Linked DNA regions of Nothobranchius furzeri. The protein of the gene in region 1 interacts with the protein of each later gene in a pairwise test. Links are inferred from orthologs where the notes say so. Each region holds a gene or a part of one and is shown in the gene's direction. Other genes may lie near its edges.

Region 1 (5,210 bases):
TGGGAGTTGAGTAAGAATCTGGTAGGGGGTGACTTGCTCTTTAAACATCATTAAATCATTTCAAATACTTGAGCAGTTTTTTTTATCATCTTTCATTACAGTTTATATCAGTTTCTAATGATGGAAAATAAGAATAAACATTGCTGAAGATGGGATCCTATTGTATGTAAAGATAACTATAATTATTAAACCGCTTCAGCATTGACATCAAGAATCATTGTTAGCGTTTTATAATTTTTTTTTCTTAAAGAGCAAGTCAACCCCCTACCAGAGTCTAACTCCACTCCCACTTCATGTTTGACAAATGCAACAAATGCTGTTGCCTAGCAGACCGAGAGGGCGGAGCTGCTAACAAATACAGACACACACAGGCTCACGACAGCATTGTGACATCATAATGTACCAGTTTGCATCATAGCATACCTCTTAGCCAATAGTGGTGGCAGATTTAAATTAGAATACAGTGCAGTTGTATCTGTCAATGGCACAACACTGCCAGTTTTAGGCAGAATATTTAAATTTTAACTAAGATGCACTGAAGTGCCAAATTATTGACGACACGTGTCTGCAGCACGATTAGATACTCGTTTATTTGGTTTATCAGCAAAAAAATGTTTATTGGGGGGTGACTTGCTCTTTAATGAGATCACAGAAATGTAATGTTTTCCAACAAACAGAAATAATTTAACTGAATATCCTTTTTCTACATAAACCTCCGTTTTTTACTGGTTCTCCTTTTTAGATCAGATGTTTAAACTTCCAGGTAAAGTTAAATTGGATGTCTGATCTTTCAGTTAATTTTTTAAAAAGATCATAGTAAATTAGTTTTCATCTTTTCACAAATGAAAATGTTCCTCTGAATCCAGCTTTCAAGTAGGTTTTGATTCTTTTGCAACAGCATGAAAAACAGGTTTTTGTTGGGTTTATTATTATTTTTAATCAAGAAGGTTTTTAGGTGCAGAAAATTATAAAGAGTGAAATCCTAACGTGACAGTACACACGTATGAGCTGTGAATCCTATGGATTTTTGTTATCAGAATTTGTTTTGGTTAAAAGATTCTGATGTTAAAACTGCACTCATGCTGTACTGCTATCCTTTTCCTGTAAGATATTATTGTAAAAACATCACTAAATTATCTGTTCTTCCTCATGCAGATGTGGAGTTGTGCCAAATAAAACATTTTAAAGATTATGTCAAGAAATAAATGTGGGGTGACATTGAGAAGAGTGATTTTTGTATTGATTTTTTTGTTTTTGTTAGTTGCTTATTTACTGTAATATATTTTACAAATATTCTACAAAGTTCGCTGTTTAATCTGATGGGAGTTTTCCATGTAAACAAAAGTGCTGTTGCTATTTGCATTTTTTTACACACACACACACACACACACACACACACACACACACACACACACACACACACACACACACACACACACACACACACACACACACACACACAGATATTAAATTTTATTATATTTACCTTTAACCTGCTGCTGAGAGATAGTTTCACATTTCTGTTATTGTGTGTAGCGTCCTCTGCTGGCCACTTACAGATTGTTACGTTAACGCTGATCGAAAGAGAAAATGATTTACAAATTGTAATCCTCTGGAATAATCTCTGTTTAGTCCAATAATGTTTTGAATTTAAAAGGCAAATTAAACAAATGTGTGCATTTTTCCTGCGAAATAAATTACCACATCAGAGGTTTAGCCTTTAGCCTCGGCTATTACCATTAAAACCACAAGGGGGCAGAAAAGCATCAATGATTCATACTTGGGTTAAAGAAGGTAAGAATTTAGCACCAACGAAGAAGAAGGCCACAGTAGAGACAACTTGGGGACGAGGGCAAATATTGCTATATTTCTACCCTTGCGGGCTAATATTTAGCAATGGATTCTCAACCTCCACCTAAACCGTGGCAAGGGCACATTCCAAGAGTTATGAGTGCGCCAGTAAATTACAGGTAAATAATAATGTTACTTGCTCGCTCTCGCGTGTTTACCTGTCACAGCTGGCTCGTAAGTTAGCCAAATGCTAACGCTAATGATCAAGGGCCACTATAAACAACATGTTCAATCAAAACCAATGTCCTTTTTGTTCGGAGCTCGAATAACGACTTAGTTGTGTTTCAGCAGCTCATAAGTTGTTTACGACAACCGTTTAATCAAAATGTAGTTAGCTAGAGCTTCGTTACAGCGTTTTGTTGCTTTGCCTTTAATAAACGTTAAAGCCACTCACAGCATTTACTGTTTTTTACATTAGTGTACATGTCCTCTAACTTTAGATTTTTGCCCGTCTTTTGTGGTTTTAAATGCCTTTTATCAACACGCCTGCTCTGATCCACTGATTTTACACGCTTAACTGGCATTAGCCCAAAGCAGAGCACTTAAAAAGAGAAAACGCTGGCAGCGAAGGGTTTTTCTGATCAGGAAACGGCTGGCAGTGAATGAGTGAAATTATTTTAGCTTCTTTTCAACAACTCTGGTCATGCATGTTTTAGTTCTTCCTGAAAACGCACAGGAAACAGCTGTTCTGTATCTTAGCTTGTTTTTCTCACCAAATAGGTCTACCGGCTTTGGGCCCGCTGCAGGAGTCGCCTCCACTTCTGTGGGTCCTCCTGTCCTGACCAGGATGGCTCCTCCAGTGCCCCCCCGGCCTGTCCAGCAGTCCTATCGTCCATCCTACAACTCCTTCATGCCTTCGCACAGTCCGTATGGGAGTTCCTTCTATGGCGGCTACAGCCCCTACTCTTACGGTAGTGGATTCAACTCAGTGGGCTACAGACACTTCCCCCCCCGAGAGGACGTTGTCCCCAGCCGGTTTGTGCAGCAGGCCGAGGAGAGCAGCCGTGGTGCCTTCCAGTCCATTGAGAGCATCGTCCAGGCCTTCTCTTCGGTCAGCATGATGCTCGACGCCACCTTCTCAGCGGTGTACAACAGTTTTCGAGCGGTGCTGGATGTCGCTAACCATCTAACGAGGCTGCGTGCTGACCTCACTAGAGTTCTGTCAGCTTTTGCTTTTGTCCGAACATTGCGTTACCTGTACAGATGGTTGCAGCGACTTCTGAGGAGGGGGCGGCCAGACGCAGATGCTGAGGACTTGTGGGCTGACAGCACTAGTGATGTTCTTGCTACGAGTTCATCTAGAGGTAACGGAGCAGGCGCTGAGGATCAGCGTGTGAAGTCCTGGCCGGTCTTCCTGTTCTTTGCTGTAGTCCTCGGCGGCCCCTACCTCATCTGGAAACTTCTCAGCTCCAGTGCTGCCAGTGAAGAAAACAGTAAGGCTTGTGTTTCATGTTCTTCTGTCTCCAAACCTGCTTCTGTGTTTATTCCAACTCATTATTTGATGTTTAAAGCTGTTTTCTGACACAAGACTTCTCAGTAAATAGACTAGTAAAGACTCAGTGGTGACAGACGGGCGAGAATCAGTTCAACTTGGACTCCACAGCTTGTACAACAACACTAACCGTTGTCTTTACCTGCTTTCAGTGAAATTGTTCTGTTTGTTTAGCTACTGACTGGGCCAGCGGGGAGGACGATCACGTTGTGGCCCAAGCTGAGTTTGGGTTTTCAGCAGCTTCTGAGGAGGAGCTTTCTCTGCAGGCTGGAGATATGCTTAACCTCGCCCCTAAAGGTAGAAGCTTTGAACATAACCTGTCTTCGAGTTTAAACTGGTTTAAAAAAGCGGCATTTGTAGTTCAAAATATGTGAAAAGTATTACCTTCGTGTGGTTTTTATCCCTTTCTGTGTCGTCCACTCAGGTTACTTTTAAAATGAGATTTCATATTTTGAATGTTGTATGATATTTTTGTTGATGAAGATGTTTAATTGAACAATTATGATTTCAGTTTTCACTTTAGGAGAGTTTCTAATCTGTTTTAAGCTCTGACACAGAAACAGAATCCGCCTTTGTTTTGTTTTTTATCTCCAAAGCTATAATCTGAAAGCTTCAACACATCGTCTCAGACAAGCCTGTTTTCATAGACATCCTGCGACAGTGTGACGTTCACTGTCCAGAACATTTTCTCAACTTCTTCGAGACTAAAACTTGTTTCCCCTCCTCGTGTTTAGAGCAACAACCCCGGGTGCGTGGCTGGTTGCTCGCCAGCGTTGACGGTCAGACCACAGGTCTCGTTCCTGCCAACTACGTGAAAGTCCTTGGCAAGAGGAGAGGGCGCAGGCATGCCGAGATGGAGAGGCTTGCTCAGGTTCAGCCAGGAATGGCGCCGGCTTCTGCAACGGCCTCGACTCCGCAGTCGCACTCGCCTGCAGCTCAAGATTTTAACCGAGATCTTTCCACGGCGTCTGCAGAGCAGCTTGAGTCGGCGTATGGAGCAGCGCCAGCCTCTTTCAGTTCCAGCATGTCCTCCGACACATTGATAAACATCCCGGAGAAGGATGACCTGTGACGATCGAGTCTGAACGAGAAAAATGTTATTCAAACACTGTTTTAGTTCGTCTGAGATTAGCTTTTCATTTAATCTGTCTGAGCTTTAGGCGTCTGTGTTTGTTGAGTGAAGCGAAAGGACTTTGATTCATTCAGAGATGTCTAATTTTTCCCAATTTTATCGGTTAATCAATCACTCAATGTAAATATTTAACTTGATTAGTTTAGGAAAAGGAAATATATTTTCAAAATTAAGCATTGTCTATTTGTTATATTTTCACTACAACAGTAACTAAATCTTACAAACTCAATCATGACAGGAGATTTAAAACACACAGAAATGTGGTTTCTGTACAGGTACGTTTTTTAATAATTTATTAGATATTATTTATTACATTAGAAGTCTTAATTACATTAGAAGTCTTAAGTTCTTTATGGAAAAAAAAAGTCCTAGATTATAAGCAAACAGATGTTTTATCATCATTTGTAATTGAAAAGTCTGATTTATTTACTCTGATTTATCAGTTTCTTTTTTTTATGCAGTGTTAATGTAGGGACATTTTATATAATTCATAAGGGAAAGGATAGATTTTTTTAAATCTGCAAAGTATAAACTGTTTTAAATTTTAAAAATAAATTATTTTAAAGCACAGGTATGCCTTCTGGTATCCACCATAATAACCTTTGGGCCAAATAAAGCACTATTGTGGCTGTTAAGGAAATTTCATAAGCTGCAACAAAACGACACCAGCTTTTAATAGAAACTGCTTTTACGCAGTCTGATGTGTCACAAATATCACTTGGTAATATCAGCTAG
Region 2 (4,540 bases), on another chromosome or scaffold:
TGTGCTTGGACACAGAGCTCTGCGAACAGCCAGCTTCTTTAGCAATCACCTTTTGTGTCTTGCCCTCCTTGTGCAAGGTGTCAATGATTGTCTTTTGGACAGCTGTTAAGTCAGAAGTCTTCCCCATGATTGTGGTGCCTTCAAAACAAGACTGAGGGACCTTTTAAAGGCCTTTGCAGGTGTTTTGAGTGAAACAGCTGATTAGAGTGGCAGCAGGTGTCTTCTATATTCAGCCTTTTCAGAATATTCCAATTTTTTGAGATACCAAATTTGGAGTTTTCATTAGTTGTCACTTATGAATATCAAATTTAAATGTAATGAACATTGGAAATACATTGGTCTGTGTGCATTGCATGAATATAATGTACAAGTTTCACGTTTTGAATGGAATTACTGAAATATTTTCAACCTTTTGATGATATTCTAATTTACTGGCCAGCACCTGTATATAGGGTGGATAACATGGAATTTCTCATTGAATGGAACTTCTTTGGTCGCTTTAAAAGTCTTTTAATTGTCTTTTCTTATATAAAAGTTATTAATACTTACTATTTAATTGCTTTCCTATGTTTGTAGAAATGTAATGTGCACTTCTACAGGACTGATGAGCAATGTCTAAAACCTTTAATGTTCTAAGCAGTTTTGAGATTGGTAGCAGTACACTTTGGGTTTGTCTGCACTTGGACTAGCCACTAGCTCATAGGTCCTGAAGAATGAAACTATAGGAGTGTCCAAATTCAGGGGTAGCATTATTGCACGCTCTGCGGTGCTAAGCAGATGTGTAATGCTACTGGTTCATAATTACATGCTGCATTTGATATTTCCTTTTCTAGATTCCTGGGACACCCCCCACCCCCCCACCCCAAGACGCTTTACAACACCATCAGTCATTCACCCATTCTCCCCTGGTGATGATGAGCTACATTGTAGCCACAGCTGCCCTGGGGCACACTGACAGAGGCCGTACACAGGCACCACCGGTCCCTCCGACCACCACCAGCAGGCACAGCGGGTTTAGTGTCTTGCCCAAGGACACAACGGCAGTGACCTGCAACCTACCGATTACGGGGCGAGCACTTAACTCCTGTGCCACCATTGCCCCACATGAAGCTCTACAGGACACGGAGCAGGCTTGAAAAAAAAGATGTTTTACCTACTTTACATCACAGTACAGGATAAGACAATCACTTTCACGGATTAAAAAAAAATCATACAAATCCTGAAAGGGCAAAACATCTATGTCAGCTTGCACTTGCAATATAGAACTGACTATAAGCTTCATGAACAGATATTATTCTGGAGAGGTTGTTTGTATAGAAGTTGTTCCTTGTAGGTAGGAGAGTTTTCCTGCCTTAAATATTTGCTAAATTTATTGTGACAATTCACATGGGAGCATGCTACCTAAAAATATAATAACGGACCTCCGTGCAACTCCAATTCATGACAACTGTCACTTTTCTATTAACCTGTCACATTTGACCTTTTTGTGTTCCTTAATCTTTAGGAAATAAAAAAGACCTACATTACACATAGATAGTAGTAATTGCATAGTAAAAAGTTTTTCTAAATCAATGAAAATCCAAGATATCATTTAAATGTGACTGTTTCCATTAGCTCATCATTCAGTAACTACAGGATGTTTCAGTTTTGGCTTTCTGTCTGTAATTTTCTCTTAATTGTTTTTGTTATAAATGAGTTGAAGCTGCGTTTTTAATATAGTTCTAATTATTTTCCTTTGTTTAGACTAGGATACTCATTAAACAATGAGACCCATAGCAATGGCAGCATATGGTGCCTGAAATAAAATCCTTTCTTGCCACAAAAGGAGATGTTCATATTAGATTTTTTCCTCTCTTCCCCTACGATTCTCCATCAGGGAGCCCTTTGCAATTTAATCATCACTAAAATCATTAAAAATATCTGAAGATTAAATTATATTGGCATTTGCAAAATTATGTAATACATTTACATTACAATGAAGAAATTAAAATAATGCATTTTAGCTGTCTGGGGTGTATGAAATCTCCACATGGGAAATATAACTGGAGAAGTGGACAGACTCTTATTTTCTTTGCCTTTGGTGGCAGTTAATAGGCTAGCAGTCTCAGATTTCATTGTGTGAACCTTTCTCCACTTCCTTTGATGGATGTCTCCGAAAATCTCAGTGGTGTTTCTCAATTGTGAAATGAAAATAAATTTTTGAGTCGAGGGTTTGTAAAATTGAATGAGATTTGACATACTCTCTGAATTGTACTTAAAACAATTTGTTAGAAGGTTGGGAAGTATTTAGTTACATTATTACAGCAAAGGGGCCATTTGGATTTTAACCCTAATTTGGAGGCGCTGAATAGTAGTGGGAATGATTTTAAGGATTTGTGTGGATTCCAGGGCTGACGGATGGGGAGGTAGAGTTGGCCATCCAGCGCTCTGGCAGCACTGAGGAAGTCCTGCCTTTGAGTCCCATGGGACACCCACTACCACCATATGCAGTTCCTGCACCACCCAGTAAGTACTCAGGCCTTTTTCTGCTCTTTTGCACCCATGAACCTAAATAATAATTACATTTTTGTGCATTTTATCATTCCAGTAACAACTTTGAAGTGATAAATTAGAAGCTTCAGCACATATATGAATTTGAAAATGTTTAATTGTAAATTTAGAAACAAAGAACATCATCTGAGCTCATGAAGCCTTGGGCTACTCTGTCTCAGGGGGTTCCACCTTAGCAAGACCCCACACCCCAACCTGTATCTTTATTACCTCAGGAGGTTGTGAATTCTGTCCACTGATTTACCAATGCAGAATGAAGTCCGCGTAATGCTTAACCCATATGACAATGATTCCAGATGTATTCCACCCTCATTTATTACCACACTGTCCTTGACTCCCTGGCATCTCATGTTTTGTAATGAAAGTGATGTTGATGGGATGGCCATGTAGTTAGGGAGACTCGCAGCTCTCCGTCCATTGTAGGGGGTTTTATATCAAAATGGCTATAAGGGAGCTGCATAATGAGGTGAGAGCGGGAAGTCTTGTATGGGGGGTCATGCTGAAAAGAGGGGGCTACCTGCTTATGATGTCCTTCTAACGGGGATGGTGCACAGAGACCCGCATCCATCTCTGTCGCAGTAATGGATACTCTGATCTCTATTTCCACATGGTAGAAGGACAGGAAGGCCTCCACTGAACCCAATAAATTTGAGAGGAGATTGGAAAAACGGGGGATGGAGTCCACAGTTTCACAGCTTAAGTGACCAAATAAAAAAAAAAGGAAGATGGCAGTGCTGAAGTGGTATAGAAAAGGGAAAGACAGTGCAAGAATGAGATGCCCTAAAGGAGGGGGGGAAAGAGCAAGTGAAGAGCCTCTAGTGATGCAGTCAGGCTTGTTCAGGGTCAAACACCCAACCCAAGGACTCTAAGGCCCTTCAGATGCCTGCTGTTCTGGGATAGGTGACAGTCTATCCCGGCTCTAATGTTGATGAAGACCCAAATTTATGTGGTTATCATATGGATGTTGAAGAATGATTCAAAAATTTTCGATGGGAAAGGTTACAGGTTCATGAGTGCGGCAGCAGTAGTGAAACTTGCCCTTCAGCAGGGAAAATAAAATGACACTCACCTTGAAAATATTCTATATATATATATATATATATATATATATATATAGTCTTGCATGAGTGGTCTCCTGTTTTATTTGCATATAAAATCACAAGTGCTAAGGCAAAAGATCAATGTAGTTTACCTACTTTAGGCAATAAACATGTTCAGCGAACCCATTAGGTGGAATCAGACCTGCAATAGAATATCAACAGTGTGCTTTAGAGGGGGACGCTTTGCAAAATTTGTATTTATTTTGGCTACATCAGAGTAAATAAAAAAACTCACTCATACTTCTCTAGATATGTTGGCTGTTTAGTGACATTTTCAGTTGAATGCCTCTCCTGAGTGGGGAATTTCCACCTTGACAGACAGTTGGCCTACCCAGATGACAGCTTGCACAATGACACACTTTCACATTATCCGTCACTCAGCACGACAGCCAACTTCTAAATGCACATATACACTCTTTCTACTTTTCTGTTTGCCTTAGGAGCTTTTTAACAAATAATATATGTATATTTTTAAGGAAGAAGCAGTTTTCCCCACTTACTTGTAATTATGTTTAACATTTCATAGTCGTTCAGCAAAAGGCAGTGGTTTTTTGTCTGATGGTTCCACATTTTAGTTTTTCTTTTATCATTTTGTATCCAGTACTTTTAAAAAATATTTGCCCTTACGTTTAATTTTTGTTGTTGTTCACATTAAACGGTTGAATATGGTACACAAACACCAAAGCGACATCTAGTGTGTGGCGGTTGTAGTTGCAACACTAGAACAAGGTTTCCAGCCGTCAGGAAACCAGGTTTGCTTCTGACACATGACATTTTTAATTTGGGTCCATGTTGTAGGCTTCACCTAAACTCACTCTGGTTTTAGATCTTTTACGGTCGCTCCTCTTCTGAGAAGGATAACGACATCTTCTGGAATTAGAAGCAGCTGC

What was found.
Region 2: the proteins of pex13 (region 1) and pex14 interact in a two-hybrid assay, tested with the Homo sapiens proteins (2 studies listed by BioGRID and IntAct, with this or other methods). The link is inferred for Nothobranchius furzeri from reciprocal best matches to the Homo sapiens genes PEX13 and PEX14.

Annotation. Positions count from the first base shown.
Region 1 is NC_091752.1:7,648,350-7,653,559, forward strand, and holds pex13 (peroxisome biogenesis factor 13), read left to right. Parts: upstream 1-1,793; 5' UTR 1,794-1,896; coding exon 1,897-1,970; intron 1,971-2,571; coding exon 2,572-3,284; intron 3,285-3,517; coding exon 3,518-3,640; intron 3,641-4,077; coding exon 4,078-4,415; 3' UTR 4,416-4,648; downstream 4,649-5,210. UniProt on the Homo sapiens protein: Component of the PEX13-PEX14 docking complex, a translocon channel that specifically mediates the import of peroxisomal cargo proteins bound to PEX5 receptor.
Region 2 is NC_091755.1:29,686,388-29,690,927, reverse strand, and holds part of pex14 (peroxisomal membrane protein PEX14), read left to right. Parts: intron 1-2,388; coding exon 2,389-2,505; intron 2,506-4,540. UniProt on the Homo sapiens protein: Component of the PEX13-PEX14 docking complex, a translocon channel that specifically mediates the import of peroxisomal cargo proteins bound to PEX5 receptor.